3 linked regions of the Drosophila melanogaster genome follow. The protein of the gene in region 2 interacts with the protein of the main gene of each other region in a biochemical or structural test. Each region holds a gene or a part of one and is shown on either strand. Other genes may lie near its edges.

Region 1 (12,143 bases), on a different chromosome or scaffold from region 2:
AACCGTAGCACTTAAAGGTGTTGATGGACAGCATAATGAGGTTCTTAATGCGCAGAAGGATATTAGGATCGGTGCAGGACGAAGAACTCATGCTGATTTCGTTGACAAACTTGGTTAACGAGCTGGACCACAGATCCTCCAAATAACTGCTGGTCACGACATCGCCCGCCGTGTTTTTAACGTGATCCTCAACCACGAAGAAGCCAACGATGGCACAGATGTACGTTTTGTAGGCCTCCAAATTGTCGTGCATGTTGGGCGGCGGTTGAAGCACCAGTTTGGCCTGATCCCTGCGCTGCTGACGATAGTCCTTCTCGAAGTACTCCCGCTGACCCAGCACCATGTAGATGTGTAGGCAGCGGTAGATGGGGGAGAAGTCAATGAGATCCTGGGCACTAACGTTGGCACCATCATCATCCCCGCCAGCACCTGCTCCGCCGGCTTCGCCGCCATTCATCTGCTGCATGTGCTCGGCAATGATGGCGTTGATATCACGCTTTTGGAGCTGTTTTGTGTGTGTGATGGCCAGCTCGCCGATGCGGGGTGAAAACTTCCGGATGTTCTCGAGGAACTCTCGAAAGTCCGAGGCGGAAGAGCGACGGATGTTTTCCTTGATTATGGGAATCTGTATCTGCATCTGGGTGGCGAATCGGTAGTTGTGTGTCTTCAAGCGCGTTAGGTGCTCCGTCTCCAGAGTCTCCAGAGTTCTCAGCGCCTGGTAGTACTGCTTGTTCTTTGCCTGCTGTGTGAACTTCATGTAGCACTCCAATGCGGGCAGACAGGATTTGAGTGCCTCGATGGCGCTGGCCAGATTGGATTCGATCTGACGGGCCCGCACTAGATCATTGCCCTGCTGAATCAGCGAGGCGCTGATCTGGCGAAGGGACGTGTCCAAGGAATGCACTTCGTTGTGCAGCTGTTGGGCCTGCGTGCGCACCTGGAGCAGCTCCTGAATTGAATCGATGAAGCCCTGGTAGTACAGATTGCAGATCCGCTCGATCTCTTTGTCATGGCTCCGTATCCGCTGCTCCAGTTGGTCGCCAATCTGCTTAGTGTTGTTGCCTGTCCGGGAAAAAAGGAAAATGGGCGTAAACAAAGTGTGCCAATTGCTTCTATTCGCAGTCACCTTCAAGGATCGAACGGAATGTTGGTCCCCAGTAGTCGTCCACCGCCTCAATGTCTTGCACGGTCACTTTGGACATCTTATAACGCTCTTTTTTCTCTTCTAAACAACTTTTTACCAAACTTTAATGAGCAATTATTTCGCCGACTTATCGGTATGGTATATCGAATATTTACTAAGTGTTATCGAGGTTTGACTTTCGATACTAGGCGATAACAATTTTAAGCGGTATGTTTTAAATTATAATACAAAGTTGTGTCAGAGAATATCTGACTGCATTATCTTTTAAAAAGATATTATCACTAGGATTGTAATAAAATAAATAAATCAAATAGGCGAAAACTACCGAATCATAAACTTAATTTATATATGTATATCAAAATCCGGTTCTTAACTATTTAAGCAGGAAACAATGATTTGTAAAATATTTATAAATTAATTAAATATTTACAACTTAAACCTATGCTATTAGTAATGTTCACCAACATAATATTCGTTGGTAATTTTGATAAGAAAAGTAATTAATTACAGATGTTTGAATAACTCATTTTGGCGCCCTTATTTCAAATATCCGCAGCAAGCAACAGGTTGGAATGCCGTCTGCTCGTTATAGGCCGCCTTGGAACAGCTGTTGCTGTTCAGCTTTCACTTTGGCTTCGCTTTGGCTGGCCGCTTCTCGAGAGGGCCAAGAGTTGTCGGTGGAGTTGTGGTTCCGTTGATACAGTTATGTTGCAGTAACACCCGTACACGCACGCAATCACGGCACAAGCTAAACACCCGAAATCAGCAAAGATGGCCGACCTACGGAGTCGCCACAATGGAACCGCTGCCATGGAGAAGCAAAGCCACAGCCAAACCGGAAGCCACCATCACAACAACAATAAAGCGCTGGATAAGGAAGCATCGGAGAATGGAAAGCCGGAGAAGAGTGATCCCATGATATACATAATCTTCGTATCGCTGCTCTTCGACTTACTGGCCTTCACCATCATTCTGCCGCTGCTGCCCTCGCTGTTGGAGCACTATCGCCAGAACGACAGCTCCGGCTTGTATGCCGTGCTCACGGATCGGGTGCGCTGGTTCCAGCAGCTCCTGGGCGCCCCGGATCGCTACATATCGGTGCTATTCGGAGGCTTTCTCGGCTCCATGTTCAGCTTCCTGCAGTTCGTGGCCAGTCCGATTGTCGGAGGACTCTCGGACTACTACGGACGGAAACCAGTCCTGCTGGCTTGTGCGGTAGGTAATCCCAGTGCTCAATGCTTTAATGTGCACTAAACACTAAACTAGTCTTGTTAGTTTTCTTTTTGGCTTGGTCAACATTTCATGCTATTACGAGTTCAATCCAAAAGCGTGGAATTCGTCAAATTCAAACTCCTTAGCTAAGCCACAAATAAGTAAACCTTCCTTAAGCTACGTCTTCTTTCATCTATAGAGTGGTATTGCGTTATCCTATCTGATCTGGGCCTGCTCCAGCAACTTTGCCCTGTTCGTTTTGGCCCGCTTCGTGGGCGGAATTAGCAAGGGCAACATATCCCTGTGCATGTCCGTCATTACGGATGTGTCCAGCGTTAAGACCCGTGGACGCGGTATGGCCCTTGTGGGTGTGGCCTTCTCGCTGGGCTTTATTGTGGGGCCCATGATTGGAGCCCTGTTCGCCATATTCTCCGATAAAAGTGGAAGTACTTGGTTTGTGTTGCCCTCTCTGCTGGCGTTTGGCCTGGCAGTTGGAGATCTTGTGGTCCTGGCCTGCTGTCTGCGGGAAACGTTGCCCAAGGTGCGTACGGTTGGCTAAATTAAATATATTCCCAACACCATTAATTGTTTGACCTTTTCGCAGGAGAAACGTGTTAAGGAGATATCATCTGCACTGTCTTATGGCCTGCAGTTGCTCAATTTTTCGGCCATATTTAGGTAATTCAATGTTTTAATTAGCATGTCTCGAAAACCTGTCGTGTGATCAAATCGAAATCGTCATACGGTGAGAACTGCAAGCCACCCGGACTTGCCTGACTGGTTTGATAGACACTATTATCATGCCGGGTTCTCGGACACGTTTGTTTGATTGCCTTATCAGTTAGTAAATTCTAGATTGCTTTTGATTAATTGTAGTTACAGGGAATTGAGTCCAGTTAGCTAGAAGATTATTACCAATGATTATGTCTGGATTTTACAATCATATTTCAAAAGAATTCTCCCACTGACAGATTTGCTGCCATCAAAAATGTGCCTAAGAAAGACATTGCGGCACTGCGATCCATTGGCCTGGTATACTTCTTGTATCTCTTTCTGTATTCCGGCTTGGAGTTCACCGTCACATTTCTGATGTACCACAAATTCGGTTACACTTCGATGGATCAGGCGAAGATGTTTTTGACAACGGGTATGGAGCAAGTTGATAATCTACAATATTCCCTATCAAATTTGTGTCTTTTTCTAGGTGTAATCATGACTTTGCTGCAGGGATCGGTGGTCCGACGGCTGCCCGAGGCGAAGATCAAAGGCTATGCCATCTTCAGTTTGTACCTGATTGTACCCGCCTTCGTAGTAGTCGGCCTAGCCGAGGGCAGTCGGATGCTGTACGCCGGCATGACCCTGTTCGCAATCTCCACAGCCTTCGCTGTCACCTGTCTGACCACCCTCGTATCCAAATACGGAAACGATGACCAGAAGGGTTCAGTACTGGGCATATTCCGCTCACTGGGAGCTTTGGCTCGAGCTCTGGGCCCCGTGGTGGGATGCATTGGTGAGCTCCTCAGCTGTCTTAGGATTATACCTTTTCTAAACTCTTTAATCCTTAATAGCCTTCTGGTGCGTTGGCTCCAGGATCACCTATATAGCCGGCGGACTTCTGCTCATTTATCCAGCCATGGCCTTGCAACGCGCTCGCATTTAAGTGCAATAGGAATAGAGTTTTTAAACTCACTAGAGATCAACGGAAGTATTAGCTGCACATTATACTTAATTTATCGTTTTTTACAAGTATTTTATATTAAAATAAACACATTTTTACTCTGATTTGTAAGCAGGGGGTTTTTACTTGGGATCGAAATGTTTTCTATTTAATTAATTTTTTTAATAAGATAATATTAGAAACAGTTACTGCTACTGGGAGAACGATTCTGTTTAGGTTGGAACGTTTTAAGTATTCAAGACATTTTGAGTTGGAAATAAGTTAAATGGGCTAGGGATAATCCCTAGAAAATGTGTTCAGCTTTTTTAAAATACGATAGGCTTGTCGGGATGAAACGAGAGCAGTTCATGATAATTCGTCGTACCGTCTGGTAACTCTAAAACATCCATCTCGTTAATTTAGTGATGCAAGTCGATGTGAAAACATCGATAATGATATAAGTATGTTGGTGTTTTAAAATAAAACAAATAAGTTTTTTAAATAGGAAACAAACATTAGATTTATTTTCTAGACCTAATGTGTTTTAATTATGAAAAAATTTAATTCTAATTCTAAAGCTTTTGAGTATAAAACAATGTTCATATAAACAAAAATAGAAGTGACATTGTACTATCGCCTTACATCGCCATTAAGAAAATCGATAAGTATCGCCGAAATAATGTCGATGTACCGATATTTTTCAACATCTCTAGTCTCGTTGGAAATATAACGTGACGTTATTGGGAGTGACTAAGTTTTCGTGTAAGAGAAAATTGCAAATAAATGCGCTGCAAGCAGCTGCAAATCTCCAATTAATACTGCTCCAATTGCCGGAAAAGTCCTGCCAGCATTTTCGAACGCATCCGAGCTGGAAGAGCAACCGATTTCGCCACTTAAATACTGATATATACACTTTTCTCTTTCTTTACAACTACAACTGCAAATAAAAGTGTAAAGTGTGTGAGCCGACGACAAACGCATTAAAGAAATCGGCGGCGCGCAGGGATTATTGGATTTCGTTTAGCACCCGCACACACAAAACAAAAAGGACGGAACTGGATTTCCAAAGGATATCGAACCGAGCGAGCGATAGCAAAACAAATTGAGCAAAATGGGTGCAAGAGAAGACGAGTACGATTATCTGTTCAAAGGTAATTATAAACATGATACTAGCCGCTGGTCGAAGATCGCGGAAGGTTGATCAGGAGGGGAGGAGCCGCACTTCCAGGCTCTCCTCTCCCTGCCGTGAGAGACAGTGGTTCAATAGCACTAATTGAAACTAATTGGAGAATAACAAAAAGTGCACTCGAAGAGCCCAAAGTTCATGTGATGGTATGTGGTGTGTTTGTTTGCGTGAGTGTCATTAATTCCCAAAATAAGAAGTACGCCCCCCGAGTTTGTTGTTGTTGCTACTGCTGCAGTTGGATGCCCTTTGGTGGCTCTCCCGCTCTCACTCTGCCTATCTCCATCTCTTTGGGGTACTCTTTCGGACTGGAGTACGCGTACTTTGCCGTTAACTGCTTGTTTTGTCATTACAGTGCCGTTGGTCTCGCCACGTTGCATACAAAAGCCAAGCAGATCGTATTTATAATCGCTCGCTCTGTAAAGTAGGTTTAAGGCTTGCCCACCCACTCGAAATGCTAAAGTGATTAGATATCCAGTAAATAGAGCGAGAGTGTGGGTATTATGATTTCTGTACAGCTGGCTTTTGCAATGGTTTCTTGTAACTTCGTTTAGTAGCTCTCTCTCACGCGCGCTCTCTTTTTCACCCGCTCTCGATTGAAAGTTTGAAGCACAGTAGAGCAAAATGATGTATTTGCAGGTAGAAAACAAGACTTTTATCCCGCATCTTCCCCCGTTTATGTGTAGATATGTATGAACAGAGGTCACAAATTCTCAGCTCTTCTTTGTTCCCTTCGTTTGCTACTACGCCATAAATTCCAATTGCGCTTGGAAATCTCTGCTAGCTATCACAGCTGAGCAACTGTTGAATGTCATTAAAAAAATATTTAAAACTTAATCTGCCGTATTTTTTGGGTCAAGTATACAAAAAGTTAAAAAAAAAGTCATCATAATAATGCGTCAGTGTGCGGTATGCATGATGAGGCCTCAAATTTCACACATGAAACAATATTAAACGGACATGACTCACAGCCAATAACTGCTGAAGAATTCCACTCACCGATAAGCGCATAATCACATAACTGAAAATGGGCCGTTTCGGGTTATTCGAGCCAATCCCACTACTAAGTAATGACCGTCGATTACCACTCCTCCCCTTTTAATTTCTCATCGCATCCGCTTAACTAAGTGCAATTTCTCTTTAAAGATCGTTATTAGCGCTGAGAAAGAGAGTAGAAAACAAAGTGACTCAGCTCTCTCGCTGATAACTGTAACCACGCTGCTCCCAGCTGTCCACACTGAAAGAAAACCCTATACCCTCTAATTTAGCTATCTAAATTAAGTCAAAAACTTGGACTTAGCTCAAAAGTCGTTTCAAATATTTAGTTCCTATCTTAATGGCATTGCAATCGAAACTTCGAACTCAAGAATCAGTGTTCATATGATACCATTTTACTATTTGAATTTTCTCCGTGCAGCGATGACCATAGCGATAGAGCGAAAAGGTGTTTGATGAGTTATAGTTGTTGTTTTCTGAATGGATTAGCAAACATGCTGAATCAACAATGTCCGAAAAGGGTGTCAAAAATGGAAACTAATAGACAGACAGTCAGTAAACACAGTGTCTAGATATCAGTTAATATATATTATAGCCAACAACTCTGGCCGCACATAAGAAAGTTTATCAAAAAGAAATGGAGTCGTAAAAAGGTCAGTGGATAGTTTTTATCGGGTAGCATATCAACTTGGGATGCTTGTTTGCTCCCTCAAATATCCGCCACTCAATTATCCAAGAAATGTTTGCTATCGGCAATGAAGCACAATAACACGAACTCCCTAACGTCGACTGGCCCAATCATAAAACATTTCTTTCCATGGCCTGAAATCCCCCGAGCATGGCGGTTTTATGTACTCGCTGACCTTGGTGCGCCGTGCCAGCGGCGAAAGGAGGACATGACCTAGCCGGGCCACCAGCGACCATTCTGTCCGGCCGTAAAACACAAGACAGGGGCCATGCCACGCCACGCCACACCACACACCCACATAAATTATGCAACTGGGGGTCTTCGATTATCCAATGCCAATGTCGATGTCACTAATTCCCTCTAATCCTTTGCAGTTGTCCTTATCGGTGACTCCGGTGTTGGCAAAAGTAATTTGCTCTCACGTTTCACGCGCAATGAATTCAACTTGGAGTCCAAGTCGACGATTGGCGTTGAGTTTGCAACGCGCAGCATAGAGGTGAGTACGCTGGCCAAGAATTCGAGGGTGGAGTGGCCCATGGAGCTCCACCCCCACACATCTACCGCACCGCACCCACAGTGGGGGAAGTCACGGGTGAACTTGCGTGTGCGTTTCGGTGGGAGGACACGTAGTTGAGGCGTCTATCGGAAAATTGGGGGGAAAAGTTTGTTCAATTTGAGTAAGTGTCGAGAATTTCACTAAATAATGGATTGCCAATTGGCTTTCTTGCATAATTTCAAAAGCCATCCTACGGGATTAGCCAAAATGTTGACATCATAGTTGTCACTTGTGCTGAAATAATAAATTTATGTGGTCAATAACAATTATATATTACGTATGTATAAGGATTTGTGTTAAACAATACTTTGTGCCATCTTTTCGAAGTAGCTTAGTAGGTCATCTTAATATTTAGTATATCAAATGGGTTCAATGAATATAACTTACGCTACTTGCGTTTTTTCTAACTAGTGTAAGAAATTTCAAAAATTGGGTTCTCTTACTAGAGTTAAAAGCTTATCCATAAGCTCTAATTTATGTTGGTTATGTGTGAATACTGAATGCCAGTGCTTGTATATTAATTTTCAAAGCGAATGCGCCGCAGGCATTTCGTGGCGAAATTGCCAATTACTGGCACCATTCTAATGCTGTCCTTTGTTTCATCCTTCTTGTGCATCCAACGCAGGTCGATGGCAAAACAATTAAAGCGCAAATCTGGGATACGGCCGGCCAGGAGCGTTATCGCGCCATCACCTCTGCCTACTACCGCGGTGCCGTGGGGGCCCTGCTCGTCTATGACATTGCCAAGCATCTGACCTACGAGAACGTGGAGCGGTGGCTGCGGGAATTGCGCGACCATGCCGACCAGAACATCGTCATCATGCTGGTGGGCAACAAGTCCGACTTGCGGCACTTGCGCTCCGTGCCCACGGACGAGGCGAAGCTGTTTGCCGAGCGCAACGGCTTGAGTTTCATAGAAACCTCGGCCCTCGACTCAACGAACGTTGAAACGGCATTCCAGAACATACTCACAGGTGGGTCGTTCAGGATATTTTAGCTAGTCTGCTTTCAAATTATCGATCGTTTAAGAATATTTAAATACTGTAGATTAAACGCTTCATTGAAAGTCAATAGATTAATGATAACGAAGCACGACTAATGATGTCTCGTAATCCCGTTTCAGAGATCTATCGCATTGTGTCGCAGAAACAGATCAGAGATCCGCCGGAAGGCGACGTCATCCGCCCGTCGAACGTGGAGCCCATCGACGTAAAGCCGACTGTCACCGCCGATGTGCGCAAACAGTGCTGTCAGTGACCGCCCCAAGCAATTTTCGCTATTCCCCGCAACCGCCAGAACAGCAACATAAACAGAAGCAACAGCAATTACAACTACGACTACAAGAGGAGCAGCAGCGGCCAGAACTGCAACACCAAGATCAGGAGCAGCGTACACCCGATGGACCGCACAAGATGTCTATGCGTTTGTCAGCCACAGTTTGTCATGTGCGCATAAATTGATAATTCAAATCTGAGCCGCCACTCTCCACCACCAACACCACCACCATCATCAGAAGCAGCAGCAGCAGCAAAAGAATCGAAAGCAACAACATCCGGCTGTAGTTAACTGCGGTTTAAACTGAAGTTTTATATATATACAGATCCATGAGTATCGCATAAATCGACCGCCGCGGAAAGAAAGCAAGCAAAACTAAACACTCCAAATTCAGTTTAAGCTGTAGAACTATAATTTATATAAATATACATATATGCTAATATTAAAATATTAATATTATTAATTTTTCGCAACATAAATATATAGTTGTAATTTCGCGAGCAGAACAACAACAAACAACCGGAAATTCTTCGACTTAAACGCAAATTCATTACCACAGCACTGCAGCTCGGATTTTCTTCTTCGGTTTCTCGCAACATTTTAAACGATTGGCCACTTGGTAAAACTAGCTGATAAAGAGAAATCAAACAAAAACAGTTGTAAAACTTTAAATGCATAAATGAAACGAAATAACATCATTTGTGTTTGCTATGTTAAGTGTGATTAAATAAATATAATTTAAATAAAACAGAAGTGCTTTCAATTGGGCGGAAAATCGAAATTTAAAATGGGATTAGAGTGACCAAAGGCAGACGTCGGAGTGGGTGTTTGGTATTTTCCGCGCGAGCAGCCACACTGATCCATACACGTGCGGGAGAAAAGTGAACAAAAACATTGAAACATGGGCGGTAAGAAGAAAGTGCATCCGAAGACGCGCACGGCGGCCTTCAAGGCCAGCGAGCCGAGCGAGATCGTGGAGGCGCCGCACTCCTTCGTCATCCATCGCGGCCTCGCCTGTCCGTACATCACGGACCTCACCCTGGACTTCCGCCGCATTATGGAGCCCTTTACGGCCAGCAATCTGCGCGAGAAGCGGATGAACCGCATCAAGGACTTTGTCAGCCTGAGCAGCTTCTTCCACGTCTCGCACATGGGCATCTTCAACAAGGCCTCCACGCAGCTGTCCTTCAAAGTGGTCCGCTTGCCGCGCGGTCCTTCCCTGACTTTCAAGGTTTGTTTGTTTCATCGCTTAGTTTATACTGGATATTTTACCGCGAAGTTATTCTCTGTCAGGTTCACCAGTTCACCCTGGCCAGAGATGTGATCTCGCTAAGCAAAAAGCAGATGATTGACAACGATCACTTCAAGCACGCTCCGCTCGTCATCATGAACAACTTCAGTGGCGATGGCAAGCACCTTAAGCTGATGGCCACCACGTTCCAAAACATGTTCCCCTCAATTAACTTGGCCACGGTTAATATCGGCACCATTCGTCGCTGCGTCCTGTTCTCCTACAATCCGGACACGAAGCTGGTCGAGATGCGGCACTACTCCGTGCAGGTGGTGCCGGTTGGCTTAAAGCGGGCGGTCCAGAAAATCGTCAAAGGAACGGTACCCAATCTGGGCAAGTGCAACGAAGTCGTGGACTTTGTGACCAAGTAGGAAATGACCGTTTGTTCTCATTCCATCAAATAATCATAATATTGATTTTCAGGGACGGCTATGCCTCCGAATCAGAGGCCGAAGATGATGAGCAATCACATGTGGTGCTGGCACAGACTCTTAAAAGCAAGGGCAACTTGGAGGACAAAAAGAGCTCCATAAAGCTACACGAGATCGGACCTCGACTAACCATGCAGCTCATCAAAATAGAAGAGGGCCTTCTGACGGGCGAAGTACTGTATCACGACCATGTGGTCAAGACAGAGGACGAAAAGGAAACCCTGCGCAAGCTGGTCGAAAAGAAGCGAAAGCAGAAGGAGCAGCGCAAGAAGGAGCAGGCAGAGAACCGTGCCCGCAACTTGAAGCTTAAGAAGGATGAAAAATGGGCTGCCAAGAGGGCGGCAGAGGGACGGACTGACAGCGATCCCGAGGATGATGCAGAGTACTACAAGGAGGAAGTCGGCGAGGAACCAGACGAAGGTGAGTTGTGCTACATGCTGCGTAGAATATAAACTAATGTTTCCTTTGCAGAACTGTTCAAAATGGAAGCGAAGTCCTCCCGAAAGCGGCCTAGTTTGGGCGGCGGAATGAAATACAAGAACAAGCGCGCTAAACTGGATACCAAGGACAAGAATGACAAATCTGAGCGCACGGACAAGTACGATCGTAAGGACAAGTTCGATCGCAAGGACAAGAAGGACAAATTCGACCCCAAGAACAGGAGAGCCAAGTTCGATCCCAAAAACAAGCGCGCCAAGTTTGACCACAGAAAGAGTAGAAAATCAAAGTAGTACATTTAACATAAGCTATTTTATAAAGACCATTGGTTAACACGACATCGCAATGTTATCAATGGGAACTAACTAAACATACGTTGCACCACCTCCTTGTAATGGGCCTTGCTATCCTTCCAGCTAACAGCGATGTTGTCGCGCAGCTTGCTGAACTCTCGCTTCTCCTCGTAGTTGGGCATTCGCTCGATGGTGGCTTGCGCCTTGGCGAACTCCTTCAGGTGATAGTAGGCGAGTGCACGCCGGTAGATGCTCTTCTCGCTGGGACTCTCCTCCGTCTCCACAAACTGCGTGTGGTAGATTACATGCTCATAGCGTTTCTCCTGCAGCAAACAGGCGGCCAGGTTGGTCTGTATCTGAATAAAGAGCTCCTCCACCGCCTGGCCGTTGATGCCATTGGTCTTTTTGGTCAGTTTATCGAAGGGTTTGTAGGTGATCAGCAACTTTGCGGCACGCACAAAGTAATCAAAGGCGAATTTCGGGAACGTCTTAAAGGTGGCCACGCCGCTTTCCTTGAGACGTAGTGCCACCTCATAGATCTCTGCAGCGCTTAGCTTCTCCACCTGAGTGTTCTTCACAATTTTCTCCAGCTTCAGTTCAAATTCTATTCGTTCGCCGGTTTTGGTCGTGATGCTACAGGCTGCCGTTTCACCCGGCACAAATTGCTGCAGCAGCAGCTCCAAGTAGCAGTCCACTGCGGTCAGGCTGGTGCCCATTTCCAGGCTGTGCTTTTGAGGATACGTAGCGGACTCATCGCTGACCAAATATTTGCTAGGTCGTCCTCCCAAGTTGGTGGCTTTCTTGTTGACACTGAATTCCACCGTACTGATTATCGTGGGCTTGTCCATTTCGGTGAATTGGAGGCCAATTACCTTCTTGGCCAGACCACGGTTCTTGTCCTCCCACTCTGTGCCCACGTACCAGTCCATTTTGGAATATTTGCAAATTGGGAGCTTCGAAATTTAGCAGTAAGCAAAGT
Region 2 (9,272 bases):
TACACCAAACAGTGCACGGTACTCATTAGTCAGTGCATGACTAATGCAAAGGTCAAACGAAAAGCAGCTGTGAAAATTCACCTACCCTCGCCGGCTTTTGTGGGGATATACTATTAAGTCTATTGTTCAGATGTGCGATTTAATTCGTTTATTTTGTAAAAAACAAGAAAACCATGAGGTTAAGATGGTAATTAAACCCAAAATGTTGCTACTAAAGGCAAAATAACTAATTTTAAGCCTATAAAGTCAATTGTTTCAGCTGGAAGTTCACACTCGTATCCAATAGATATATTATACGCATTTGGATACGTTCAACCTCGCATTTTTTTTCTGTGCACACCCACACACTCTCTTTTCTTTGTGACTCACCTCTGCCTGCTGCTGATTTCTTGTTGCGTCGCGGCATGTTGCTGTTGTTTTTGCGTCGTTCAGGTATTTTGCTGTTTGAACTCGACGACGACGTTTTGGTTTCTATTGTTTAGCCTACTGTTTCAAACACAAGGTACGAAACACAAAAAAAACAGATGCTTTGTAGCCGAGTGTCCTTTTCCTGTTCTGGGTCCTCAAAAGGTGGAGAACAGGCGTCGAAGTCTACACAACGGCGAAAATGTCTACACTTTCGTTGCTTTGGCGGCAACTACTGAAACGCACGTGTTGGTTCCGATTTATTGATTTTGATGCTCTAGGTTAGGAAATTAAATTGCGTTCTTGAGCCGAGCTGTCAATTTTTTAATCTTTGTCTTTCTAACCCGAAACGTTGCCGATCAGGACGCACCTATGCAAAAACTTTGGTGCTTCCAATTTTTGGCAATTCTACACGACTGTCTTTGCCGTTTGCAATTGTTCAACTCCGATCGCGATTTTTGCGGCCGTATCTTATATATAGTCTGCTGATTCTGATGGCTCTGCTGCTTGGCGTTGATAATACAAAAATGTCGTACTCCCGTCGACGTTGCAGCAAATTTCATGTTTAATTGCAATGCGTTCACTTTTCTCCGCGCTGGCAGACACTCCCACTCCGCCCTCGGTTCGCAGTTATTGTGAAATCGAATCGAATGCGCTGTCTTTCGATCTCTGGTGCTTCGATTTTGCTATTTCCGATTCGGCCAGTGAAGGCGCTTCGCGGACTTTACGTTGGCAGCTTTCGGAAAGCTCTAAAAATAATGCAAATAATTAAGCACTTAATTCGATTGCTGATTTTTACGAAATGAAAAAGTGAGTGACCGTATGCGCGAACGTTGGAAAATACCATGAATAGCGGTATATTCAATGGAAGATGGAAGTCTGCGCTCATGCGATAGTTGACTTTCGATAAAGCCTATACCTATAATTATACTATACCTATACTATACCTATTATACCCTACTATACCTATATTTACCTATAATTAAATGTGGCTGGAAATAAATAAAACTAAATAATCTTACTTTATAAATTCATTGATTGGTCCTATGCTTTTCCGCAAAATACTAATTTATAATTTTATTTATGGACAATAAAAACTTCTTATTTTTGTTTAAATCGCGATATTCGCGCTCACAAAAATATCATCTCCACTCTGCACCTGTATCGATACTTTCGTTGCAGCCCTGCGCCACCCGCACACATGCACACCTACACACTCACACGTACGCGCTCAGCGATTTGCAGAGAGAGTTTTCGGGTTTTTGTTTAGTTTTATTTGATTGCAACTCGATTGGAACGACAGCGGTTGGCGCAGCACACAACAATTCCTCAGCGAGGTCGATAAGAACGGGGGCCAAACTAAGAAAAAGCTCCAGCCGACTCGATTCGATTCGAAGCTCAGAAGATTGGACTTCAGAACTCGAACTTTGGCACCACAGCAGCGCATCCACGAACGTCGCACCCAAAAATTCATGAATGCCCAGCAGCGGATTTGGACTCGGATTCGGAATCGGAATCAATAGCGAACGACAACAACAAAAGGGGGAGCCGAAAGTGGGGTTTGCAACACCGCGGATTGCACACAATAATTAGGTAATTTGTAAGCGACGTTCACCTGGACAAGGTGAACTTGGCACCGCCTCTATATGGCAGCCTTCGTACCTGTGTATCTTATCGATCGAGTGCCCTGGCTAATCGCGGGATAATCTTGCAGGTATGGCGGCGATTGAGGAGCGTTTCCAGGCGGCAGTCAATGTGATAAAGGGTCTGCCCAAAAATGGCCCCTACCAGCCCAGCACCAGCATGATGCTCAAGTTCTACGGGCTGTTCAAACAGGCCACCGAGGGTAGACCAGATGTGGACAAGAAGCCCGGCTTTTGGGACATCGTAGGCAAGGCCAAGTGGCAGGCATGGAACGATAACCGTCACTTGACCAAGGAGGAGGCGATGCAGCGCTATGTGGAGAGCCTGCAGGAGATCATTGAGACCATGTCGTTCACGGAGAATGTGCAGAACTTTGTGGGCAGCCTCGATAGTCTGGGAAACATCAGCCTGGACGAACTGGAGCTGGTCTCGCCCGGCATGAAGGAGCTGGCCGAGTCGCATCCCAACTCGCCGTTCCACTCGCGCACCAACAGTCCCCAGCACGGCTCCAGTTGTAATGGCGAACCGGAGCCGGAACCTCAGGCGACTAGCACCGCACCGCTGGCCACATCCGAAACGATTAAGGAGAATGGCCATAGTTCGCCGCCACTGACCAATGGCTATGGACCTAAGCCAACAGCAAGCTACACACAACATGACACGCACAACTTTACGAGCAACAGCAGCGTGGCCATCGTGGATCCCTCGGACGATGAGTACGACGATCCCTACGATCTCAGCCACGAGCTGACCCAGGCGATTGGCCAGAACACGGACCTGCTGCGTCAAATCCAGGCTGCTATCACACGGATGAACAGCGATGTGGGCGCAGTGCAGCAGCGCGTTCGCAGCCTGGAGCAGTCGCTCAACGAACTTCGCAGCGGCCAAAAGGCAGCGAAAGGAACGGTGGCGCAGCCACGATCACTGCCCGCCTGGTGGCCCTTCAGGAACATCTCCCCGCTCTGGTTTGCCGTCCTCATCCTGTGGCCTTTCCTGGTGAGGCGGTTCGCGCGGATGCTTCAGTCCAATCCGCAGCGCAGGCACTGACGCAGGAAAGCTATACTTGCGGAGGGCGGAACATGTGGTAGTTAAATTGTAAGTACAACGCAACTAGACAAAGGCATATGTTACCATTCCCACTTTATATTTGAGACGTATTCCCGCAGTCAAGAGAATTTAAGAGCATAGGGAACCTGTTTCGTAGCGAAAGCTTTTACATCATACATTATTTTGTACATATTTGCATTTCATTAACATATTCAAGGTAACGATCTCTATGCGAACTCAGATTGTGGAATATATCTTGTGAGTATTTGGGCAAGGGAAAGTGCTCAAGCATCCACTGTTTAAACTAATTATCAGTAACATGTGTTTCCAATTATTAGTTTAAATGAATGGTCACTATTACAAATAACTTTATACTGTTTGTGCCACCAAAATTAATCCAATGTAAACATTTTCCTTTCAGTTATCTTCGGTTACGGGCACGAGCTTGGTCTTTAGCTTTCTTCTATCCTAGAAAGCGCTTCAGTTATTGTACAGAGTTGGCCTTATTTATACCTTACTTACCCCCATGGTTATCCAGTTGCAATATCTCTACCCCCTTTTGTACACGTCTATATATGTATATTGAATGTATATTTATTTCGTACACACAAATCGCGACCTTTTTGTCACATTCCCCATCTGATTTAGTTCGTAAGTCGAATGTTTTGGCAATTTTGTCCAGCAGAAGGCGAGTTTTAGCCACCTGAAAGCGCCGATCTACTGAAAATACGGTTGTAAGCGTATACTTTATTGTGCATTATTTGTTGTTAATTATAATTTTTGTAATAAAGCAAAAAAAAAGTGAGAGCGCACGCTTGTCATCCATTAGGGCTGTGGAGTGATCCGCAGGTAACTCTTTCCGGAGGGCAGCTCAATGGTTTCGATACCATCAGGAAAGAGCTTAGGAACATCTTCGGCTTTGACGGTGGGCAAGACCATGCACTTGCCGCCCTGTTTCCAATCCGCCGGCGTCGCGACACTCTTTGTTTGGGTCAACTGGAGCGAGTCGATCACTCGAAGGATTTCACTGCAAAGGATATAGTTAAATGTAATTTGTCGGATTAATTGACCTTGAAATCGTTCCTATTTAACTTCCATTATTATATGCAAGGTTAGTACTTAGTTTTCAGCAATAATACTTCATTAAATAATTATCTGCTAATGCGATTAAGTGCACGATTGTTTGCTAAAGTGCATTACAGCATTACTTTATAGATAATGATGAATGCTAGATATTGGAATACCCACTCAAAGTTGCGCCCAGTGGTGGCAGGATACAGGATGGACAGGCGAAGCTTCTTCTTGTCGTCCACCACGAAAACGGCGCGACAGGTGAGGGGAATGCCCTCGGCATTGATCTCGTCCTTGTCCAGCATATTAAACTTGAGCGCCAGTTCCCTTTTGTCGTCCGCAATGATGGGATAGTCAAAGGAGCTCAGCTCTGCGAACAGAAACGCCAATTAGAAGCGATTCCTGTCCAGAAATCAGTGACCAAACCCACTGCCAAAGCTCTTGATGTCCTCGATCCAACCCTTGTGCGACTCCACGGTGTCGCAGGACAGTGCAATTGGCTTGACTCCACGCTTTTGGAATTCCGGAATCAATGCCGCCACCCGGGACAATTCCGTGGTGCAAACCGGCGTAAAATCCGCCGGATGGGAGAACAGAATGGCCCAGCTGTCCTGCATCCAGTCGTAGAAATCGATTCGACCCTCGCTGGTCTCAGCCGTGAAGTTTGGGAACTGATCGCCAATGTTTAAAGCCTTTCCGGACATGGTGGATATTTGAAAAAATCAAGAGACGAATTACGAGCTTTTTGGATAAATGCGAAACAAAATTTGCCGCAAAATGCAAATCAGCTGACTGGGCTAGGGTGCCCGTTACCTTTATAAGCTCAGCTCGACCAGGGATGCAAATATAAAAAGAACTAGTTTTCGTATGAAGATGTTAAAAAGAAGGCTCATTGTGTGCATTCATTTTGCAATCATTTCCTTTAAGTGTTTTAAATCTAAAGTATTTTCTTTGACACAAGCAAACGAGTGTTTCGTATATTTTCGAATTTATGAGCTCAAAAAGTGAACCAGTGAACCGAACCACTTACACGTGCTTGCATCCCTGGCCATTACTCATACACACGCACACTATATCACACATACGCGCAGTGTAAACACAAAAAAAGCTGAGAATTTCTTGCATTTATTTGTTTAAATTGAGCAAAGAGGATATAACCATGACAGAACTGAGCATCACTGGCCAGCAGGTGATGCCCCCGCCCGCATGCACACCACCGGAGCCCTTCCGCATCACAACGAACGCCCCGCACCAGATGAACGATGCCAGTTTGACGCCGGGACGCAGGAAGCTCCAGAAGTGGCTGGGTCGAGTTCTTCGGATCGTGATTACGGACGGACGCGTGCTGGTGGGATTCTTCAACTGCACGGACCGCGACGCCAACATCGTGCTGTCCATGTGCGCCGAGTACTTGGTGGAGGGCCAGGAGCCGCGCCTGCTGGGCAACGTCATGGTTCCCGGCCAGCACATAGTCTCCCTAAGCATCGACGAGCCGGATCCGCAGTCCAGCCTGCTGGTGCAATAGTGTGCATGTGTTTTGAATAAAATAAACTAGCTATTTGAAATTTAAGTACGTTTAATTTTTATTTTTGGATGGGGTTATAGTAAACCCCTCCACACTACGCCCCTGCGTCGATCAGCTGTTTGATAAGCCACTGCCGCGTTGCCAACCATCGCGCAGATGAATCAGCTGTGCTCGATTGGATTCACTGAGTTATTTGTTTGCTCGCAGCACTATTCCTGCCAATTAATAGAGTTAATCAAGCGAAACAGCGCGCCGAAGAGGATCTGCCAGCCACCCGATACTCATTCAATTGAGCCCAATCAGCGATGGACTTCACGACCTTCGTAAAGCCCTCAAATGGCGGTGGCGACAGCGGCGGTGGTGGTGATGCGGATGGCGGCGGCCAGAAGCTGCAGTTCTGGAAGCATGTGGAGTACATCGAGAACCATGGGAAGCAGGAGGACGACTACGAGTACTGCATGACCGAGTTTCTGCGCATGTCGGGCATCTATTGGGGCACCACTGCCCTGGACATTATGGGCCAGCTGGAGCGATTGGAGCGCAAGTCCATCATCGAGTTTGTGAAGCGTTGTCAGTGTCCGAACACGGGCGGATTCGCACCCTGCGAGGGCCACGATCCCCACCTGCTGTACACCCTGTCGGCCATCCAGATCCTCTGCACCTACGACGCCCTCGAGGAGATCGACCGCGAGGCGGTGGTCCGATTCGTGGTCGGACTGCAGCAGCCCGACGGCAGCTTCTTTGGCGACAAGTGGGGCGAGGTGGACACCAGGTTCAGCTTCTGTGCGGTGGCCTCCCTAACGCTGCTCGGCCGCATGGAGCAGACCATCGACGTGGAGAAGGCGGTCAAGTTCGTGCTCTCGTGCTGCAATCAGACGGACGGTGGATTCGGTTCCAAGCCGGGCGCCGAGTCGCATGCGGGTGAGTCACCACATCGCCTGTCATGCTTTCGCCCTCACAGTCAATATCATTTCAATTTAAACTTATTAATCTTCTGGGAACAAAAAGTATACTAGAAAAATAGCTAGCCATAAAGCTGGTGCTCATATATGTTATCCAAAAACTAATCTACATATAACCCGCAGGGCTCATCTACTGCTGCGTCGGCTTCTTCTCGCTGACCCATCGCCTGCATCTGCTCGACGTGGACAAACTGGGCTGGTGGCTCTGCGAGCGGCAGCTGCCCTCCGGTGGGCTAAATGGACGGCCCGAGAAGCTGCCGGATGTATGCTATTCGTGGTGGGTGCTCGCCTCGCTCACCATCATGGGCCGCCTGCACTGGATCAGCTCGGAGAAGCTGCAGCAGTTCATACTGTCGTGCCAGGACACGGAGACCGGTGGCTTCTCGGACAGAACTGGCAACATGCCGGACATATTCCACACGCTGTTCGGCATCGGCGGACTCTCGCTACTGGGACATTCCGGCCTGAAGGCCATCAACCCAACGCTCTGCATGCCGCAGTACATCATCGACCGGCTGGGCATCAAGCCGCAACTATTGCCGAGGCCATGAGGGGATTCATCGATTCCACATGCAGCCAGTGCGTAGCCAATGTGTAGTGCAGCAGACCTCTGACGTATTCCCACGCTAGCGTTTCTTAGTTTTATTTGTAAAAAGACCAAAATTCCATAGCAGGAACACCCTTTCTTTACTCATTTTCTTCGTTATGCATTTACCCCTCTATTATTATTAAATATAGAATATTTTGTATAGCGAACGAAAATCAGCAATAAACAAATATTTTACTTTAATTCAGATCAGTTAACATTTGATTTATTTGCAAAGATAACTAAACTAACATTTGCATGTGTGAAAAACCGTGTGAAATGTTTGCGGCTAGTAGTCTAGGTCGTTATACATATTAGGTAAATACATATCATTGTGTAAATTTATGTACATGAGGATACGATACGAGTGTAGGGACTAATTAGTTAAGAAGTTGGCAAAAAACTGCATTACAAATATGGCGAATCACACAAAATTGGAATTACAAACTAAACGCTAAGTGTAGTCACCGTGTATGGGTTAGCTCAATTAGAGGCAATTGAAACGAATCTTGCAGAGCACAAACAAATATTAATCGACCACATCATACATATGCTGTGGACAATGTCCGAGTGTGTGTTCTGTGTGTGTGTGGTGTGTGCGGTGTGTGCGGTGTGTTGTGATTGTAGTATACTCGATGCACGTCTAAGGCACTCTATAAACAATTTCAGCTAACAATCCGTTTAAAATTTATGTCTTCAACTACGGACTAATGGAGGAGCATTAGGAATTACTGAATTTCTCGTCGCTAGTCAGAACGTTGTATGCACAGCCGAGGGCCCAGGAGATTTCGTGGCCATCTATCTTCTTGTAAAGCTGCACAATTTAAAACGAGTTACTAGAGAGTTCAATTTGTGTTAAGTGCGCCAGGACTCACCTTAATCTTCTTGCCATCGTTGAGGCCAAATCCTTCGCGCAGCAGCGTCGAGATGAAGGTAAGGTCGAAGCACATGAAGGGCTGCTCATCGTTGGGAATGGCACAGATCTCCTGGGCCTTCTTGCGATAAGCTTCCACCGTGGTCTCGCCGCCAGCCAGTGGATCCACCAGACCCGACTCGATGGCCCGCTCAAAGTAGTAGCTGAACGCGGCCACCGCGTGCTGCTTGAGTGTGAACGGCTTGGGCTTGACCAGCGGCATTACCTTGCTCTTGACCAGCTCCAGGCAGGCATCGAAGTCCACAATGGGCTGCTCGGCACTGGACTTGCCATTCTCCTTGCCGCTGACCTTGTACTGCACATTGCCGTATGTCCACGTGCGATTGGCGATTATGGGATTCACGCAGACGCTCTCCAGCACCGTATCCTCCTTCTTGTAGCCGTGCGTGAAGACAGCATGGCGTGCAGCCATTAGACCCAGTCCCAGATAGCTGTGCGTGAAGACGTTGATCTTCTTGCTGGACGTGACCACCTCGTGCATGTACTTATCGTACACGGGCACCTGGTCCGGATCCGTTGGCGAGAAGGTTACCTGCGTGCTACCGCCGCCCAAGTCCAAGGCAGCTGCCTGGTTCGTCTTGGACAGGCGGCCCAGCAGGAAGTTCACGGTAAACCAGCTGAAGATGCCCTCGTCCGTGCCGTCCATGATCTCCACGGCATCCATATCCACACTAAACTCGGACTTGGCGAAGAGATCTCGGACGGCATTTAGAATGTTTTCCGCCTTGCTGGCGGGCAGGAGTCTCAGGCCGGCGGTCGCTTTCAGAACCAGCGGTGTGGAAGACCAGTGCTCCTTGGGTATGAAGGCGCGGGCCTCGTCCAGCAGCAGTTTGATGGAGTGGGCACCCTCGGCGGGATTATCCGCGAAGGAGCTCAGACCCGGCTTGCGCTCCTTGAACAGCTCCTCGTACAGCACCAGTTTGTTGTCGATGAAGCTGCGATTGAACTTGTAGGCCAGCACACGGCTGCCCGTCGATCCGGCATCGATGATGGCCGCATACTGCACCTTGCTGTAGCCAAACTTGGAGGCCAAACGGGCCAGATACGGACTGGCGTTCTCGGAGACGAAGCCTGCATCGTTGTCAGTCGTTGGTTTAT
Region 3 (10,384 bases), on a different chromosome or scaffold from region 2:
GCGCGTAGCTTTTTAATTTGTTTTCGTAGCCCTATGACGTAGACTCCCACTTTTGTAGAGTAAAAAGTAATAAGTAGCTTGAACCCACACCATCCTGCGAGTATGATGAGTATGAGCAGACGCTGCCGTTTCCGTTTCCGCTGTGTGATTAAGTTGAGTGCTTCGCCCCCGAAACTTTTCCAGTAGTTAGCCGTTGAGTAGCTTTTAAATATTTGTTTGTTTCCTGCCCGCAGCGCGATAAAACTTTGCAGACAGCGCTAGTCACTCTAGTCCCCGCTAAAACTGATAATATGATTCTTGCAGTCCCATCATCGCCATATCCACCTACAGCGTGGAACCCTACGGGGACGGAACCGATGCTCCCGTTTGCACCACCGCCGCCGATGGTTTCTGGTCGATCTTCTACTTCGTGGGCTGCATCACGGTGTTTTTCTTCCTGCCCTTCGGCATCCTGGTTCTTCTATACGCGGCCATCGCTTACAAGCTGCTCCGTCCCAACAACGCCTTCCACCGACCAACCTCCCCGCAGCCACAGCAGCCGTCCGGCGGAGCCACCAGTGGCTCCTCACAGGTGCCCAGCACCAAGGGTAACAGCCATCAACAAAGCAACGGGATGAGGAAGCATCGCAAGCAGGTAATCTTCATGCTGGTGGCCGTGGTGTCTAGCTTTTTTGTTTGCCTTCTACCCTTCCGGGCCTTCACCCTCTGGGTGATCCTGGCCAGCGCCGAGGATGTCGAGGGTCTGGGCATTGCCGGCTACTACAACCTGCTGTACTTCTCGCGCTTCATGCTCTACCTAAACTCAGCCATGAACCCGATCCTCTACAACCTGATGTCCTCCAAATTTCGCAGCGGCTTCTGGCGGCTGCTGCTCACTTGTCTGGGCCAACGGCCACATCACCACCATCGCCACCACTACCATCAGAGGCAGCATCCAACGGCAGGCGGAAGTGGGCGCAATGCGTCCACGCGACAGGAACAGGATGCCGAGGAAGGAGCTGCGCTGGCGGGAACGACCAGCGCCCGACATCCACGTCGCACACTCCGCCGCGAGGCCACCTTCTTGATCAACTCCATATCCACCTCCTCGGGTACGGATCGCACCACATCATCATCGGCGTGGCGCAGCAACAGTCTGTCCATTTCCGGTCTGAGCGAACGGGAGCGCGGCATACTGGGAGCCGCTATCATCGGCACAACGGCTGCCACCGTTACAACCGCCTGTCTGCAGGAGCGACGCGCCAGCAAGATCTGAATCCCATCCTAAATATGCATCCTTCGAGTCCCTGTCCACTGCCAGCAACCGTTAAAGTATTTAGTTGAATTCCAACAGCAAATAGTCATAGTTTTAGAAAAATTTTGTTGTAAAGACTGAAGTACCTCAGAAGAAGTCAATAAACGCAAGAGAAGATGTTTTTGAAAATCGAAACTAATTTTCTTCGGGCTTCGAAAAATTGAAGTTTGCAAGATTCGAAATAGCTTTAACTTGATTTTTAGAACAGAAACGAGTATGAACTTTTCATACGATCATTTTTATCGCACCTATTGTGATTTAATGGGAGATAGGAGGAGACCAATTGGGATATGCAAAAATAACGCAACTATTATTATCTTTGTATGTACGATTAATTTTAATCTCTAAAGAGTCAAAGTACTTCAATAATTTTACAAATCTGTCGGAGGGAATGTAAGCTTGCCCAAATCAAATGGAAGCTACAATCGTTGTCAGATGGAGATATTTTATGTTAGAAGGAATATCTCGGATACGAAATATTTAATTTAAAATTCCTTTTCATATTATTCTTTTTAAAAAATAATAAGTCCTGTATGTATACAATGCAATACATAAAGGTAGAGTATGTCCTAAAAAGAAAAATATCTTTCCGAATATATGTATATAATTTATAAAATAAGTGGATACATACATTTTTCGTAAGTATCCTAGAAGATTTGCCAACGTATCAGGTTTACAAAAATTGATTACCTATGTGCAGTTAACTTAACGGCAGTGCACTAACTAATCTGATTTGTGAAATAATGCAGATATAAAACATTTTTAAATAGAAATATATTTATACATCTGATTCTTCAACATCTAAGCACTCGTATAGAGTGCTTTGAATATATTCTAAATACATTGGCATGATCCAAGTTTTAAATCAGCCAAAAACTTGCTCCAAAAACAGGAAGATTCTACACAAATCGCCTCGCCCTTAAAGTTTCTGCCAAGTATTTGGGTGCGTGCGGATCAGTTCCGGCCTTCACTTAAGTTTTGCAATCTTTCCAAAGTCAAGAAATAAAACAAGTCGTTTGTAGGCATCGGTACAGATCGATTTTATTAGACTCAGGTCAAATTAAGATTCAAATTCGGGCGACAGTAAAAACCGAAACTAAAGTGTGTCCTTGATCCCAAACCTTGCAATTTAAATACGCACACGCAATAATTTTTATTAAACTTCATCGCTATGTCGTCATTATTACACTAATTATGTGCCTAAACAAATCCCTTGTGTCACACGATAATTCAAACACACAATCGCTCGACGTTAAATCTAAAAATGTTCGTTCGGTTTTGGGTTCGATTTACATAAAATTTCAAGTGACGATCACGTTCGCTAGAGATAATATGTTTAGAAAATTGTATTTGTAATTTAAACACATACATATGTATACATAGTGGTAAGTAGTAGCTGACACAGGACAAGTACAATTGCTCCTGCCGTCGCCTGCGCTCAATTAATGTGTAGTTAATAGTACATATTAGTTTCGGTATGGTTTCGCGCTGCTGTGATAGGTAACTTCTTATTGTAGGTTAAAGTAATATTAGGTTAATTGCTACACCGAATTTGCTTGCTTTGCACTACTTATGAACAGAACTGCGGAAATCAGAGTGACGGTTAGTATTAGGATCGATGTCCTTGTTGCTCGAGTTTAGTTGGGGATGTCTGAAGTCTGGATCGGGATCTGGATCTGGAGCTGGTTGGCTACGTACCTAATACATATTTGCTTAAATTGTTTATCGAATTGGATCACGGTTAGGATCATACAAACGCACTACTCGTCATTCCTCACCATTATTGTTATTACAGAATTAGTTATTATAATTACGATTTCGTGGATCCGCCATCGGTTTCGCTTGTTTTATTATTATTGTGTGGTTTCCGTTTTAATTTATTATATTTAAATTTTGTTTAATTGTATAATAAAATAATGATTCACAATCAGAGTTATTCAGCAGCAACCGGATTTGGTGTTTTCCACTGGACGTCCTTGATCGATTTTCACTTTGCTAGCGTTGTCAGTGGCGCTGGACGGCGGCCCGACGCGATTCTTGATCTCCGCCGCCATCGTCATGAAGGCCTGCTCAACGTTGGTGGCGCTCTTGGCCGAAGTTTCAAGGAATGGAATGCCTAACTGGGCGGCGTACTCCTGGAATTTTGGAAACAAAGACCCAGATTAGTATATACGTGCATCTATGATTCCCAGGACTAAACCAGCAATATACGCACCGCAGCTGTGGTGTGGTCGACTACTTTCTTGGTGGTCAAGTCGCTCTTGTTGCCAACCAGCAACTTGTTGACATTCTCACAGGCATACCGCTCGATCTCCTCCAGCCACTGCTTCACATTGTTGAAAGACTCCTGGTCCGTGCAATCGTATACGACAATGATGCCATGGGCGCCCCTATAATATGAAGACGTGATGGTGCGGAAGCGCTCCTGGCCAGCAGTATCCCACTGTAAACAGACTAATTAGCTCTGGACTAGATTGCCTCTGGCGTTTTTATGCTTACGATTTGCAGTTTAATGGTCTTTCCGTCGAGTTCTATAGTCCTGATTTTCTGCAAGATAAAGGTTTATGAGTCAGACATAAAGAATTTTCACAAATTTCCGGTTGGCTTACGAAATCCACTCCGATTGTGCTGATATAACTTTCTGTATATGTGTCATCGGCAAATCGCAACAGAAGACAGGACTTTCCAACGCCCGAGTCTCCAATAAGCAGCAACTTAAAGAGATAATCGCTGTGGATTTGGAGATAGTTAATATAGTTAATGTTATAAAATAGTTATATAGTTAATAAATTATAGTTAATTTAATAGTTAATGATATAAATTTGTGCTGCGATGTGGGAATAGTTCAGACCCTATGCTGAAACATATAAAACTTCAGAGAAATCTAAATAAAACTGATGATGCATATTTGCGATAGTGATATTACAAGACGAAATGTTTAAAATCAGAGTGTAAAAGGTTTAGTATACATTTAAAGGGAAATAAGTTGGATGACAATCAGTTAGAAATCATTGATTCAAGCAAAACATTTAGAGAGGTGTTTTGCGGGCATAGTTTAGTCGGGCAGATACTAATATATACATAAAACCGGTTTGGTTTAGGCTTTATCTTATCATGCTATGTCCAACATCAACCCCCAATTGCTGAATGATATGCGATAGTGTTCCAATCCTCTGCACACATGTATGCTGGCTATTGAAGGAGGCTTTCTGGAGAGTGCGAACCAAGATCGGTTCAGATTTAATTGCCTTGAGTGAGAGCGGCAATTAAGTAGCACTGGAATGGCCTTTGATTACGTAGCACTGCGCTGGGGGTGGGAAAGGCTCTCCACGCAGGTGACTCATCCGCCCGACTAGCGATTTGGCCCGTCAACTGGGATCTCGCTGTATATATGTGTGGACTTTATACATATGCAGATTCCGATGAGAGTTTCGAACGCGCTTTTCATCGCCTCGCCCGTGGGCACTACATTGAAATCCAGCTGAAACACACAGTTTTGGTTATGGTTTCTCGATTGGGTCGGTTGTTAGGTCCGAGTGTGTATTTTGTTTTTAGCAAATGGTCTGTTTTTTTGGAGTTGCCAACGAGGGCAAAAGGGAGTGGAGTGGGGCTGCTCGATAATGAATGGGAATGAAACGTAGCAGAAATGACGTCGCAGAAAAAATAAAAGAAACTATTTTCGAAGGCCAGAAAAGGAAGTGGAAGCCCAGTCACTGTTTTAACTCCAGATAACTGCGCATAATTACGTGTGACGACTTACTATTCCGGATTCACAGATGACATTTTCTGGCTTTTTCACAAGATTATATATTTGCCACGAACAAATATTCGATTTCTGGCCCTGGACTGGCTGCTGTTCAGAGTGTTTTTATTTGATTTGCGCGTTCCGAAATACTGGAAATCGACACGCACTCGGCTTGTGTTGTGTTTTGCAGTTCGCTATTGTAATTATTGCAGCGAATTTAAATGGGAAATACGTTTATTTCCACAAATTCGACGGCCGAGAACGAGAACAATGGCGACTGAAAAAATGACGAAGTGGCATTAGCGGCAGTGTTGGAAAATGCGCGGGGCCCTCTTCCAACCAGGGCTACACATTATCTTGTCTACGGAGGTGAGTGGGCGGAACCAGAGAAGAAAATATATGGATTATCGCCAAATGACCCCTAACACACCCCATATAAAAACAAAAATACTTAACTTTTGCATACAATCTCTTATGGTACATCATTTGTTTCTAAACACGGCCTTTAACATTTGAGTGTTTGCATAGAGAACACATTAAAGATAATAATAATAATACGCGTAATAGTATATGAAAGAAGATTCGATAGGCGGGTGTAGCGCCTGGGGGAATGCATCTGGCAGATCCGATATACATATGTATGAATTGGGCCGCTACTCCAGCGAATTTAGCGTGAGCAGCTGCTTGAGCACCTTCGTCTGCGAGGTCTCCCGGATCTCGCCCGCCAGGAACATCTCGTCCACCACACTGTACACCTTGTAGAAGTTGAAGACCAGATCCAGCTCGCACACATTATGGAAGTATTCGTTGAGCACCTCCACGAAGTTGTGAATGGCCTCCAGATAGCACAGGTTGTTGTCGTTTACGTCCACGCAGATGCAGAAGTACAGACCCGCATAGCGTCGGTAGACGATCTTGAAGTTGCGGAACTACAAAGGCAAAAGTGTGATAAAAGGGTGATTCAAAAGAACATATGGACTCGATCCCACCTCCACAAAGTTGGTGTGCTTGGCATCGCGCACTGTGACCACGGCATGCACCTCCTCAATCAGTTTCTGCTTCTCGTCGTCATCGAAGTTCATATACCACTTGGCCAGGCGAGTTTTTCCAGCTCGGTTTTGTATAAGTATGAATCGTATCTGGGCGAATGGAAGGTCAAATAGGGGTCTAAGCTTATAGCTGGCTAGTTGCTTACCATTTTTCGGGAAATTGGTTAAACCGTTTCCTGCTTATTTACAACTTTTTTTGTTTCGAGAATGGGGGCGAAAAACTGATTATGAGCAAATTGTGTATCACTGGGACCAGGGCTACCACTACTGTTCCGGAACAGCTGTTACCTCGTCAGTGTTGCAAACAGTTCGCGCAGAAAGCAAACGAGTTGGCAGACCCGCGCGCTGTATTACGAAGTTTCACTTTCATATTTGTTTTGGCCACCACTCCAAACTAGTCATTTACCAAAAATGTTGGCCTCTCGCTTGAATCTCCTGTTGCCCCGCGTATCCTGGCTGCGCGGTTGCTCAACGACAGCGGTGGGCCAGAAACATCAGCGCCAGGTGCCCACGGAGTTCGCCGTACACGATCCTCTGCAGGCTCACGCTCTAAAGGAACAGTGCATCCTGGTTGACGCCAACGACCAAGCCATTGGGGCCGCCTCTAAGGCAGACTGCCACCGTGTGCATCCAGAGACGAATGATGTTAAGCTCCATCGCGCCTTCAGTGTTTTTCTCTTCAATTCTCAGGGAGAGATGCTAGTGCAGAAGCGATCGTCTCACAAGGTGAAATTAAAGGGTAATCCCCTTATTACAAGGTCCATAATCCTCTGTATCCTTAGATAACCTTCCCAAACACCTACACCAACGCGTGCTGCAGCCATCCGCTTTACGAAATCGAACAGGAACGTCAGGAGCGCAACGCACAGGGCATCCGTGTGGCCGCTCAACGACGTCTCAACTACGAACTGGGCATTCCCACAGAGGAACTGCAGCCACAGGACTTTCGCTACCTGACCCGCATCCACTACGCAGACACGGGCGACGGCGTGTGGGGCGAGCACGAGATAGACTACATCCTGTTCCTGCAAAAAGACGTGACGCTGCGTCCAAATAGCAACGAGGTCAGTGAGGTGCGCTACTTGCGCCGCGATAAGATCGACGAGGCGGTGGCGAAGTTTAGTGCCCCGCTGACACCCTGGTTCTCTCTGATTCTGCAGCATCGATTGAAACTCTGGTGGGACAATTTGCACCAGCTGGAGCAATTTGAGGACTTGAGTAATATTCAGCGCTTTTAAGTGTGCTAACCAACCAAAAATACACGTAATGACGTCTAAAAGGGGCTTTTGTTCGTTTGGGTTTCAAATTCGCTTTATTCAAATGGAAAATAGTGTGTGTCTGTGTGCGGACAATGGGCACAAAGCGGATTTTATGCAACCTCCGCGGGTCGATCAGTTCAGTACAACGCTTTTGTATATGTAAATATAACAATACATATATAGTTTGTATAGGCGCACGATATTCAATATGTTTCATAGCCTAACTAATGTGTTTGTATGTTGAATATCAAATAACTAATTAGCTTTTAAAATGATCACATTACGTTTCCCATAATCATCATCATCATCGTCATCGTCGCAACAAGAATAAATATGTACAAAAGTACGACTACAGGCTAACAGAGACACAAACTAAAAGTATTGATTCTAGCCTAAATACAGAAGAAACAAACAAAAGACAAGCTGCAGCACTTAACATTAACATATATCGCTTCGGGAGCGAGTTCGAAGCGCGCGCTTCGAGGCGTGAAGTGCAGACCCCGGGCGAATCCGGAGTCGACGTTCACGAGGCACCACCTTGGCACCGTTTCTCTGGGTACTCGAGTAAATAAAGCAATTGCTCGGAAATTCCAACAACTTAAAGCTAGACCCTGCAAACTTCGATCGATGGTTTGCACCTTTACGGCAGGGGGTGAATATATAGTTATATACGTATACGTACTTTTCGCATGCAATGGGGGTCGTATTTGTGGATGTGTGTATGTGTGGGGATCAGGATAAGCGCTTCATCCTGAATTCGATTAGTGGTTAAGGCACATAGGTATGAGTCTATCGTGAATCTCAGGCTCGTTGAATCTATAGAGTTACGGGTTTAAAGCTGCTGGGTGGCACACTTTGTCGTTCAGTTCCATGTGGCTCCTTTACCATTTTCTAGGACAAGCCAAACAGTTTCAGGGCATTAAAGGCAGTGGCCAAAGCCACCTCGTCCGGGCTTTTCTTCATGAAGGCGGCTATCATCTCTACAATGGCGGGCAAACTGCACGGCTCGTTGCGTTGGAAGGTACAATATCTGGAAGGTATTTTGAACTAATAGAAGAGTGACCTATTTTGGTACTTTTTACTTCGCCCACCTGTGTAAGTACAACAATGAGCGTTCGGTGATACCAGTCTTCACGTGTTGCGGTAGCTTGGAAGCCCTTGTGTTTGGGTACATGAAAGGAGCATCCGTCTCCACCAGTAGTCTGTCTAGCGGCAATGTGCCGTCCTCCAGCAGGCGGCGAACGCCAGTATCCGATTTGTCCTTGCACAGGTAGCCCGTCAGGCTGATGTAGAACCTCCGGTCTAGGTACTTAAGCGCCTCCTCGGCGGTGCCCATAAAACCTCTGATGATCACAGGCGGAAGATTCTCGAATCTGCGCGGGGAACAATTTAAAGTTTTGTAAACCAAATCTACGGCTCTTACTTGTCTAGTATTTCGAGTAAATCGAGCTGAGCCGACCGCTCGTGGATCAGCAGAGGTTTATTTAGCCGGATGGCCAGATGCAGCTGCTTGGCGAAGATCTGCTTCTGGGCGTCCGGTTCGGAGAAGTCCCGCTGGTAGTCCAAGCCGCAGGGGCCAATCGCCACACACTCCTGCGCCTGGGCGATGTGCTCCAGATCGAACCACGTGGCCGGCTCTTCCACGATGGACTTGGAGTCGTGCGGGTGAATGCCAGCAGTTGAGTAGATTATGTCGGGATAGATGCGCGAAAGGCGCAGCGCTTCCTTGCTCGATTTGACCGAAGTGCCGTGAACCATTAGTTTCTGGACACCTGCAACAAGAAAGGCGGGAGAAAGTTAGTGCAACGTTCACTGGGCTACAGACTTGTGTACAAAAGAGAAAATATGTGACTTCTGTTTGCTTTCGATCAGATACTCTTATCAGCATTGTAATGTATCCCTTTAAGTAAATGTATTTAAAAAACAAATTTTTTGTTGAATATCAAATCAAATATGTAAAGAGAATTTATCTCTTACATATATTTAAATGTTTATAGTTTCCTTTAAAAATTTATCCTATGCAAATATTGTTGTGTTGACATCTTGGTTATTTGGTTTTTAATCTCCAGCTACGTTCCCATTGAATTTGTAATGCCATCTCCCAGGGCACATATGTACATGCATACATATATCAAAACACAGGCACACTTGTTGCTCGCCAATAGCCCGACCTTCTGGCTGTCTGGGTGTTTTCGCAGCCTCGCCCCAGAACGAAGACACTGCCCGGGTCTTATTAATTATGCCTGCACATGTAGTATCTGATGCTGGCATACAAACCTGCGTCTCTGGCTCTCTGCACCACGGAATCCAGATCACGGCTATACTTCTTGTTGGTCAGATTCGCACCCACGTCGATGACGATCAGGTTCTCAAAGCAGTGCTTCATGTCCAATTCCAGCTGATCCTCCAGCAGCGGGGCCACGGGGGCCACCACCGTCTCCTGGGGCGTCTGTTGACTGGGGTCCATGTTCTGGATCGGAATCTTGGATCTATTATCGACGAAAATAGCTTATGACGCAGGCGATGGATTGCTGGGCTGCGACTGTGTGCGTGGGTAATTCAATTAGCTTGTTTTTGAGGGCGCAAGGAAACGCGACGGCGGTGAAAGCCGTGAAATGTGGATCTACTGAATTTGTTGGAATTTGGAAGAGTTGACCAATTCGGCAATCAATGGTCTAAAAGTTGAGAAATATTAATCTAAAAAACAATCCCGACACGAACTACAACTGCTGGCTAGAGTTGAACAACGTCTGCAGAACGGGTCAGTGCAGGTACTACACTCTGCATGCAATCGATAGTCGGAATCGATACGTAGCACCAAATTATATCGTGTTTGAATTTAAATTGTTATCAAAATAAATATTATGTAATAAAATTCAGTCCAATTATTTGATATAAATATATTTGTTTCATGTATATAGTAGAATTCCGATCATCAATAGTAACATCTTAAGACAAATAATTAAATATTTCACAATACCATACCAGAAGTCGCAACTAAATATAACTGAGTCGAATTTTTTGTTTCGGCAACAGT

The links.
Region 1: of the proteins of RabGGTb (region 2) and Rab11, one has a biochemical effect on the other in vitro, tested with the Drosophila melanogaster proteins (one study listed by BioGRID).
Region 3: of the proteins of RabGGTb (region 2) and Rab1, one has a biochemical effect on the other in vitro, tested with the Drosophila melanogaster proteins (one study listed by BioGRID).

The regions. Positions count from the first base shown.
Region 1 is NT_033777.3:21,106,692-21,118,834, forward strand, and holds Rab11 (Rab11), read left to right. Parts: upstream 1-4,716; 5' UTR 4,717-5,124; coding exon 5,125-5,164; intron 5,165-7,254; coding exon 7,255-7,376; intron 7,377-8,061; coding exon 8,062-8,410; intron 8,411-8,559; coding exon 8,560-8,693; 3' UTR 8,694-9,455; downstream 9,456-12,143. Other genes in the region: Sec15 (secretory 15), read right to left, coding at 1-1,062, 1,127-1,202; rtet (tetracycline resistance), read left to right, coding at 1,916-2,359, 2,556-2,897, 2,961-3,034, 3,328-3,503, 3,561-3,866, 3,925-4,016; ppan (peter pan), read left to right, coding at 9,613-9,942, 10,005-10,369, 10,426-10,853, 10,905-11,164; Bdbt (bride of doubletime), read right to left, coding at 11,233-12,093.
Region 2 is NT_033779.5:2,873,267-2,882,538, forward strand, and holds RabGGTb (Rab geranylgeranyltransferase subunit beta), read left to right. Parts: upstream 1-5,845; 5' UTR 5,846-5,997; coding exon 5,998-6,613; intron 6,614-6,777; coding exon 6,778-7,205; 3' UTR 7,206-7,442; downstream 7,443-9,272. Other genes in the region: Ifrd1 (Interferon-related developmental regulator 1), read right to left, coding at 370-406; CG8814 (uncharacterized protein), read left to right, coding at 2,122-3,096; Prx6a (peroxiredoxin 6a), read right to left, coding at 3,922-4,123, 4,345-4,537, 4,598-4,871; Sbat (sabbat), read left to right, coding at 5,327-5,692; NTPase, read right to left, coding at 7,962-8,054, 8,116-9,272.
Region 3 is NT_033777.3:21,263,717-21,274,100, forward strand, and holds Rab1 (Rab1), read right to left. Parts: upstream 5,345-10,384; 5' UTR 5,078-5,344; coding exon 5,055-5,077; intron 4,079-5,054; exon of another isoform or gene 4,025-4,078; coding exon 3,904-4,024; exon of another isoform or gene 3,842-3,903; coding exon 3,794-3,841; exon of another isoform or gene 3,738-3,793; coding exon 3,510-3,737; exon of another isoform or gene 3,430-3,509; coding exon 3,232-3,429; 3' UTR 2,313-3,231; downstream 1-2,312. Other genes in the region: AP-2sigma (adaptor protein complex 2, sigma subunit), read right to left, coding at 5,693-5,968, 6,029-6,178, 6,235-6,237; Idi (Isopentenyl-diphosphate delta isomerase), read left to right, coding at 6,500-6,814, 6,871-7,326; CG3308 (uncharacterized protein), read right to left, coding at 8,239-8,377, 8,439-8,720, 8,771-9,119, 9,625-9,814.